2 linked regions of the Arabidopsis thaliana genome follow. The protein of the gene in region 1 interacts with the protein of each later gene in a biochemical or structural test. Each region holds a gene or a part of one and is shown on either strand. Other genes may lie near its edges.

Region 1 (4,357 bases):
ATAGTAAGTTCATAAACTGCTTGTGCCAAGCATGCAAATCAGAAGATGCCCTGAAGCTTCTGTCTGAGATGCTGGATAAGGGTATTGCTCCAAGCACTATCAATTTCCGAACAGTTTTCTACGGGTTAAACAGAGAAGGCAAGCATGATCTTGCCCGGATTGCTCTACAGAAGAAATCGGCTTTAGTAGCACAGCGAACGGTATCTTAGATACCGTATCTTAGATACCGTATCTGCATGACTATCACTGACATATCACTGTAATTCTGTATCCATGGGAAGAAACTCATGCAAATTGATTCAAAGCAAATCTTTTTCTAAGCAACGAAATCTGTAAATGCTCTATTACAAAGTCCTCTTTCTGTCTGTTAACAATTCAAAAAGTAAGAGCTATATTTTAAGAAACGAGGAGAACAAGTAACAATTGATTCTAATCAGTGGTTTTAGCAAGTCTTTACACTTACAGTAGAAGCTCAACTAAAAAGTAGTAAGTTGAGAATCTCAAAATTATAATAACTCTTTACACGAGTAGAAAGATTTAGTGGGAATTCAGTCATTCACCTACACTAGGAGCTATGCCTGACTTCTCTTTGGGGATTTTTGAGAATACATGGGAATATTCTAGGAATCGAGCCCATAAACAGCCCATAAACAGCCCATAAGTGAAACCCATAAATCGAGCCCATGAACAGATACGAAATCTGTAAATCCTCTTATTACAAATACAGAGTCCTCTGTTCTATATAACTAAACTAAAACATGTAGCTAAGATACTTTCAGTTATGAGCCATGATCTGTTCCTTTCAAATGTGACCCGTAAAGCTATAAGGCAAACATAAAAAAAAACGTGTTCGTTTTTAAGGGAGGACTAATTGCCTCATAGCTTCTTCAAAATTTCTTCGCAGGCTCGCTCGTAATAAGTCATTCTCTGTATACATTTTACAGCATCATCAAACTTCTGGCTTTCAAACGCTTCGACGAAAGAGTCAGACCATTGCTTTAGTTTCTCTTGTACCTTGAGAAAAACAACAAAATCGCATTGGTTAGATCAGTTTGGCATATTCAACCGATGCCCAGAGCTACAGATTTTAAGGTGTTTGGAAAGCTAACGGAAAGAAAGACCATTTGAAGGAAGCTAGCTCAATCAGGAATTTTCAAGGTACCTGGGATCGGATCTGGTTTAACGATGTTGAATCATCTGCTTCTGATATGGCCTCTCTGAGTTCCATAATCTGACACCATTTTCAATGAATATAACTAAGTGAAAATGTGTTTATTTATGGCAGACATGTATCTGCACCTTTACGGTAGAAGAAAAAGTCTCACAAACTAATATATGGCATCAAGACTAATCTTTGGCAAGTACATTCACTTACCTCCATTAACAATGTTGGGTCTGTTATTGTTTCTTCTTCATTGACATTTACACCATTCAGCTTCATCTACATAATCAAATAGTTTCAGGAAAACTTGCAGCTTTGGAGAATCCTCAAAAACGTAATGACGAAAGTTAAGAAGAGCTTACGATATACATTGCTCTCGACAGCCGCTTTGTTAATGTCCGGCACGCTTCAGTCACCTTTGCAGACTGCTCGGCTGCGTAGTCTCGTTCTTTCTGTTAACAATTCAAAACACAAGAGCTAATTTTTAAGAACAGAGGAGTAATAAACATTGCGTCCCATAGTAAAAGAGAATCCAGAAACAAAGAGACCTTAGATTTGTTATGAACTAAATCAGGATGTAGCTTCTTTTGCCAATCTTTGTACTTGCCTTCAAGGCTTCCAGGATCTATCTCATACTTCTTCTCCCTATATAGACACAACAAGTTATTGAAAATTCAAAACCCAATTCAAAGGTCTCATCTTTTGCATCAATTCAACTAAAAGTTTCAATCTTTCTATCATTTCTCCTCAGCCCAACAAAACAGGAATCCACATTATTATCATGGTTCTCCTCAAACCCTAGATTCTAATCAACTCGTTACACACTTACAGGCCAAAAATCTGAAAATAGTCGACGGAGTCATCAACAGGTTGAATGCTACGGCATGAGTTACAGAACAAAAAGGCAGCTTTCTCGCCACAGTTCCAGCATCCGGCGCCAGATTCCGAGCAGAAAACTCTCCCGGAGAATCGGAGTCGTCCCTCAGCTGAAGAATGATGTTGCAGAGATTCGCGAGGCAATTGGGTTTGTGATTGAATCGTCGCGAGTGAATTACACTGGTTAGTTGAAGGATAGGTCCGTCTAATAAGGGTGGAGATGGAAGCCACCATCGTCTTCGTTTTCTTCATTACGGGATCAGGAGAGGTTTTGGCTCTGGAGAGATCGTCGTGTATCGATTACTACTACTACTTGTCCCTAATCGAACCAGACCGAGTAAATTGGTTTAGTGTTACAAGACCAAAACCAGATATTTATCTTATCGTACCAGACCGAGTAAATTCGCCGCTTATCGCCTCCGACCCGGACGGTGAATCGGAATACCTTCTGGGTTACCGGGTCAACCGGGTCACTGGGTAAGGTTTCGTTTTCTTCTCCTCCAATTCTCATTTCATCTTCAGATTTCTTCATCGATTAGGGTTTAGGAACCTTGTCATCGGAAATCATTTCTTGTCTTTGTTTGTTATTCGAAGCTTCTCCTGCTTATTTGATACATATTCTCTCTTCCAGTTACTCTACATGGAACCATTCGTTGTTAAGGAGAACATCGTCGCATCCGCTTCTTCGCCGATGAAGAAGCGACGGATCGATCACACTGAGTCAGCTGATGGTTCTGCGATTAACGCTTCTAACTCTAGTAGCATCGGTGGTAACGATACGGTGATGAACATGGCGGAGTTTGGTAACGACAACTCCAACAATCAGGAGTCTCAACAAGGTTACATATACTACTTCCTTGTATCTCAATTCTAGTTGTTGCCTCATTGAGATTTTTTCTTCTTCTTCGTTGTTAGCTAGAAATTTTCATTTACACTAATCAAATCATTGTTCTGTTTCAGTTTGCACTTTCTTCAAGAAGCCAACGAAAAGTAAAAACATAAGGAAAAGAACCATTGACGCTGATGAAGAAGACGGAGATTCGAAAAGCGAAAGCTCTATTTTACAAAATCTAAAGAAAGTTGCAAAACCCGATAGCAACTTGTACTTTTCTTCTGGACCATCTACTAGAACGAGTGGAGCTCCTGAGAGACCCGTTTTTCACTACGATTCATCCAAGGAAATCCAGGTTCAGAACGACAGTGGAGCAACAGCGACCCTTGAAACTGAAACCGACTTCAATCAAGACGCTCGAGCTATCCGTGAAAGAGTTCTTAAAAAAGCAGACCATGCATTGAAGGGGAATAAGAAAAAGGCTTCAGATGAGAAGCTGTACAAAGGAATTCATGGATATACAGATCACAAAGCTGGGTTTAGAAGAGAACAAACAATCTCGAGCGAGAAAGCTGGAGGCTCACACGGGCCTTTAAGAGCTTCTGCTCACATCAGAGTATCGGCTAGATTCGATTACCAGCCAGACATTTGCAAGGATTACAAGGAAACCGGATACTGTGGATATGGAGATTCGTGTAAGTTCTTGCATGACCGTGGGGATTACAAGCCGGGATGGCAGATAGAGAAAGAGTGGGAAGAGGCAGAGAAAGTTAGGAAGAGAAATAAAGCTATGGGAGTTGAGGATGACGATGATGAGGCTGACAAGGATAGCGACGAAGACGAAAATGCATTGCCCTTTGCTTGCTTCATTTGCAGGGAGCCTTTTCTTGATCCAGTTGTCACCAAATGCAAGCATTACTTCTGTGAGCATTGTGCTTTAAAGGTATGATCATAACTTAAATCACAATTACGAGTCTGTTTTTTTTTTTGGTTGTGAAGAAATACTAATGAGTTTTGTTTAATGTAATGATGCAGCATCACACGAAGAACAAGAAATGCTTTGTGTGTAACCAACCAACAATGGGGATTTTCAATGCAGCACATGAGATCAAGAAGAGAATGGCTGAAGAACGGAGTAAAGCTGAACAAGGATTGTGAAGTCCTTCTTTCACAGGACAAAAAGGCAAAAACTATACATTTGATTATTTGCTTGAGGAAAGCTTTTTGTTTTGTTGTACTCACTGGCCTATATACTGTATATTCGGATGACGATGGTTGTTTCAAACTGATTAACTTTTAAATTTAAACAAACTGAAAAAGTTTTGGAGTCAACTTCCTAGTAAGTCATCGTCAGAATTTAAGTCGTCAAACTCAATATTCTTAAACATTCTGGTAAGTAGAGCTTGCAACATAGTTTGGGTCTTCTCAGTATGAATCCAAAAATCTTTCAAATGACTTGTTTAATAATAACACTAAAACATTCTACA
Region 2 (4,505 bases), on another chromosome or scaffold:
TTGAAAGCCTTTTGCTGATAAAATCACAAAGAGAGATCAGCAATGAGGAGCTTGAGGTTGAGAACAGTTGTTGTTGCTACAATAGTCGTTTGTCTATCGGTCCTCCTATCTCCCACCGGTACGTAAAATCAAGATCTCTAACTACATAGATACACAAGTTTTTGTTATAAATGTATGTGGCTGTTCGTGTCGACAGAAGTGGATGGAAGCTGTGACTTCCCATTAGGTGCTTGTACTCCTTTCCGTGATTGCAAGGAGAGTTGCATCAAGTTCAAAACGAGGGCTGGACAGACTTTTTTTGATGGCAAGTGCCGTCCAAGGGATAGGCCGAGCGTGTGGACGGCTTGTTTCTGCTGCTATTATGATAGTATCGGTGCTCAATAAGAAAACATGTGATTCCGAAACCATATAATCGACATCGCTTTGTTCTACTCTGCTTTGCTTTTGTTTGTTGTACTCTGCTTAATCCAATAACAGAGATAACGTTTCGAATAAAGGTTGGATGTTTTGTGACAATTCAGGAACAGAGAGATGATAAGTCAAGCTACACCCACATAGTTCCATGCAGAGAAAATTATAATGTCAAAATTGAAAATTGAAAATTTGTCTGTCAAAGTTGTAATTTATAAACCTCCCAAAGAAGAGAGAAAACATTACATCACATCGGTGCATAAAACAGCAAAAACTACAGGGCCGAAGCAAAATCATTCTTACACGTTTCTGTGAACAGAGTTTATTCTAAAATACTCCTTAAGTCTTGAACATTACAACATACCATAGGTTGTATGTATCATCCTCTTCTACTTCTCCCCTGTTTTCACCATCATATACACATTATGGTATACACACTAGTAAAAGGAATCAAGCCTGTGTGGTTTCTCCTGCTGCTGCAGCACCATTTGTCTTCACACGCTTCTCCTTGTAGTCTTTCACAGCTGCCTTGATAGCGTCCTCCGCCAACATACTGCAGTGGAGCTTGACTGGTGGGAGAGAAAGATGCTTTGCGATTTCGCTGGCAAAATAAATCACAGAAAGAGAAGCACACATTCAGAGTAAGTCTTCAGATATTGAGAAACTCCATGACAGAAATCACAATGTTTACTTTGTCTAAGAAAAAGAAGTCAAGAGGTCTGCATCATTATAGGCTGGAAAACCTTAAATACCATACAAACCAAACCAGTAACCAATCTCAGACCAATTGACCAAAATCCAGTAACTAAGTTCATCTAAACAAAATAATCACATTACTTCGTCTCAGGTATGTCAACATTCAATGAGTGCAGCAATTAGATAACACGAGTGTTCATATTTATGTTAAAAATCTGCAAAACATGAATAGGAACACAGGGCATACTAACCAGCAACCAATATTGTACCAACAGACAAAGTCCAGTGACCAAGTTCCTCAAAACAAAATAACAGTCATGAAACACAGTAACTGGTATATCAACATTTAATGAGTTTAACCAATTAGACAACACTGATTGGCATAACACAACAACTCACAACAGATTATGTTAATATCTGCATAAAATGAATAGAAACAGACGGTACTTACGTGTTTTTGATGGTCAGAACATCCTCCATAGCTTTGCCTTTCACCCATTCAGTGGCTGAAAAAAACGTAAAAATGAATCATACATTAGATAACAGCAACAAATCCCCAGAGAGAAGATAGCTCCCACATAGAAGCTAAGCCAGAAACTGACGACATCGCATCAAAAAGATGAAATCTTTCTCAATAACATTAGGAGACTAGGAGTATTACAAATTCAGCATTGAATCACCAATAAAAACGTCTCAACTGACCAAATCATGCACTAATTTGTCATTAACGACACCAATCCCAAATTTGAACACCGAATCTCTACACGAACCCATCAATTTAAAACCTAATTTCTCCATTTGAGAAAGACTAATCAAAATCCCTAATTGAAATCATTTAATTTCTCTAATTCAATCCTCAATCGAACAAAACACGAAATTAGAATATAAACATACCAACAGATGAAGAAGCGATGGCTGAACCACAACCAAAAGTCTTAAAGCGAGCATCAACGATTTGACCAGTCTTCTCATCGACCTTGATTTGAAGCTTCATCACATCACCACAAGCGGGAGCTCCTACGAGTCCCGTACCAACGTTGGGATCATTCTTATCGAAAGACCCAACGTTGCGGGGATTATCGTAGTGGTCGATGACGTTCTCATGGTAGGTTCGGAGGATACCAACAGACCACGGTGTTGATTGACGTGACGTAAGCCCTAGGGCCTTCTTCGCAGCTTGCTTGAGCATCATCGTGTTTTTTTTAGGGTTTCGGAAGTAACTTTTGCTCCGCTGATTTTGGTAATGAGAAATGAGATCGGACTTTTCCTTTAAGGGTTGTGAGAAGAAGTCGGTTTGGTTTCAGACAGAGAGATAAGCGAGGGGACACGTGGACGGTTTAGATGGTTCTGAGATATTTGCTATTTCTTTTTTCTTTTCTTTTTTTCCTTTGATTTTTTCTTTTAGTATTAGCTAACTTGAGACGCTAACCTAAACTTTAGATTGAGATTTTGATAAGTTGACTTTTTCTTTTCAATTATATTTTTGATATCCTTCAAATGTTATAGTTTATAAGACCTATCGCTCATAAATCGTACTTTTCAAGTTTACAATTGAATCGGAACATACTTCTTTTACGCAAACAATAGTCATGATGATTTAGTATGTGTATAGAAAGTTCTCAAATTTCAAGTGATGAAACAGTCTATTTAAAATTAACCTTAATTCATTAACGTATAGTTAATCATAACAATTAAACCTATAAGTTATAGGCTATAACAACATTATAGGCGAATGTCTTCGTCTAGATAAGTTGTGAGGAGCCATCTACGACTGTGCATTGTCCTATGGTAAACATATATTTGGTTAATGGTTGATCTTGATCATTTGAAAAGTCGTTTTGCAACATTAACAAATATATTTGTCTGTTATTTTTAGACGGCACCACCGGAACGGATTGGAAGCAAGATCAAGTAATAGATCTGAGATTTGGAAAGCTTCTCGTGAAGCGAGTTAGATAGCAAATTAAGTTGAGGATTGAGAAATATGGATTTTAAAATATATTAATATGTATTTTTTAAAGTAGTACATATAGATTCGTAAATATAAAGTTATTTTAAGACACGAGTTCATTATGCATCTATACCGTGAAACATGTGGTACCGAGAAACAAACAAAAATTTAAGTTTCATTATGCATGCAATTGGTTTCAGATATAATATTTTTTTTTGGACAAAGGTTTCAGATATACTAATAAAAAGCAAAAACAAACAAACAAATATGATTGAAGGAAAAATGAATCAATGATGATGATGAGCGCTTGGTCTCCGTTGATTTAGCATCTACCACTTTCTTTGGCATTGTTGATTAGTATCTAAAAGTTGACTAATTTAATGAAGAAATCAAACGAAAGATTCTAAATATCTATCTTTATCTACACAATACAATAGTATTGATCATCTACAATAAGAGTCGGGGGTGTATTCAGTTAACTATTTAAAATGATTTGTCTTAAAATCATATATCTTACGTCATTTTAATCCCAACGACTTGTCCAGTGCTAGCTATAAATTAAAAACTCGCCTTTTGCCTAAATGAATCAATCACAAAGAGAGAGAGGGAAACAAAATAGAAAGAAAGAAGCTAAGAACTAATAAGCAATTAATGGGGAGCTTAAGGTTGAGCACAGTCGCTATTGCAGTAGTCGTTTGTCTCTCCATTCTCCTCATATCTCCTACAGGTACGTAAAAAAAACCAAAGTCTTTGATCCCAAGATCTAAAATAAAACATGTTTATAAAATGTAGTATCTTCCTATTGATTGGACAGAAGTAGATGGGAGGCAAGTGTGTGACTACGATAAAGGTGAATGTAATAGTTATGAGAAGAGCTCTACTTGTATTGAACCATGCAAGCAATTGGACAGCAAGTTTATTGGAGGCCGATGCATACCTGTTGGTGGTATTACTGGTATGGGGTTATGTGTTTGCTGCCGTGATGTACAGCGTGGTGCTGAAAAGGAAAGCATGTGATTTGCAAATGATACAAAACGACGTCACTTTGTGTCTGTGTTTTGCGATTTGCATGTTAATGATTTCAGCTCAAAATCTATATTTGAGTGTTTGCCTTCTACAGATCTGTTTGTTTTGAATTGTCAAGTCTTAAATAAAGTTGGATTGTTTTCCGATTATGACCTGACCTATTCATCATATTTTTTTATTTTTTTTATTTTTGTCTAATTGAAATCTAAATCGGAGGGGAAAAAATCAACAAAAAGAATTTTATACGAGTACATTAATTCTTGCAAATGTTAAATTATCCGTCTTATGATTTATACAAATAAGAATTGAATTAAGGGAGAAACTGATAAATACTTGTTCCTAACAAAGTTTAATAGATGTGTTGAGAAAACACACTTGTCCGTCGGTATAGACACTTATTCACCAATTTAGAACAATATGT

The links.
Region 2: the proteins of AT5G06410 (region 1) and ISU1 form a complex in vitro, tested with the Arabidopsis thaliana proteins (one study listed by BioGRID).

The regions. Positions count from the first base shown.
Region 1 is NC_003076.8:1,958,843-1,963,199, forward strand, and holds AT5G06410 (DNAJ heat shock N-terminal domain-containing protein), read right to left. Parts: upstream 2,317-4,357; 5' UTR 2,291-2,316; coding exon 1,992-2,290; exon of another isoform or gene 1,839-1,991; intron 1,808-1,838; coding exon 1,711-1,807; intron 1,615-1,710; coding exon 1,525-1,614; intron 1,442-1,524; coding exon 1,376-1,441; intron 1,306-1,375; exon of another isoform or gene 1,286-1,305; intron 1,232-1,285; coding exon 1,163-1,231; intron 1,159-1,162; exon of another isoform or gene 1,015-1,158; coding exon 877-1,014; 3' UTR 525-876; downstream 1-524. Other genes in the region: AT5G06400 (Pentatricopeptide repeat (PPR) superfamily protein), read left to right, coding at 1-209; AT5G06420 (Zinc finger (CCCH-type/C3HC4-type RING finger) family protein), read left to right, coding at 2,679-2,877, 2,999-3,813, 3,906-4,028. UniProt on the Arabidopsis thaliana protein: Co-chaperone required for the assembly of iron-sulfur [Fe-S] clusters in both mitochondria and cytosol. Required for the activity of iron-sulfur proteins such as aconitase and succinate dehydrogenase.
Region 2 is NC_003075.7:11,758,583-11,763,087, forward strand, and holds ISU1 (SufE/NifU family protein), read right to left. Parts: upstream 2,476-4,505; 5' UTR 2,300-2,475; coding exon 2,002-2,299; intron 1,614-2,001; coding exon 1,559-1,613; intron 1,013-1,558; coding exon 862-1,012; 3' UTR 521-861; downstream 1-520. Other genes in the region: AT4G22217 (defensin-like protein), read left to right, coding at 43-118, 197-384; AT4G22230 (defensin-like protein), read left to right, coding at 3,710-3,785, 3,873-4,075. UniProt on the Arabidopsis thaliana protein: Scaffold protein for the de novo synthesis of iron-sulfur (Fe-S) clusters within mitochondria, which is required for maturation of both mitochondrial and cytoplasmic [2Fe-2S] and [4Fe-4S] proteins.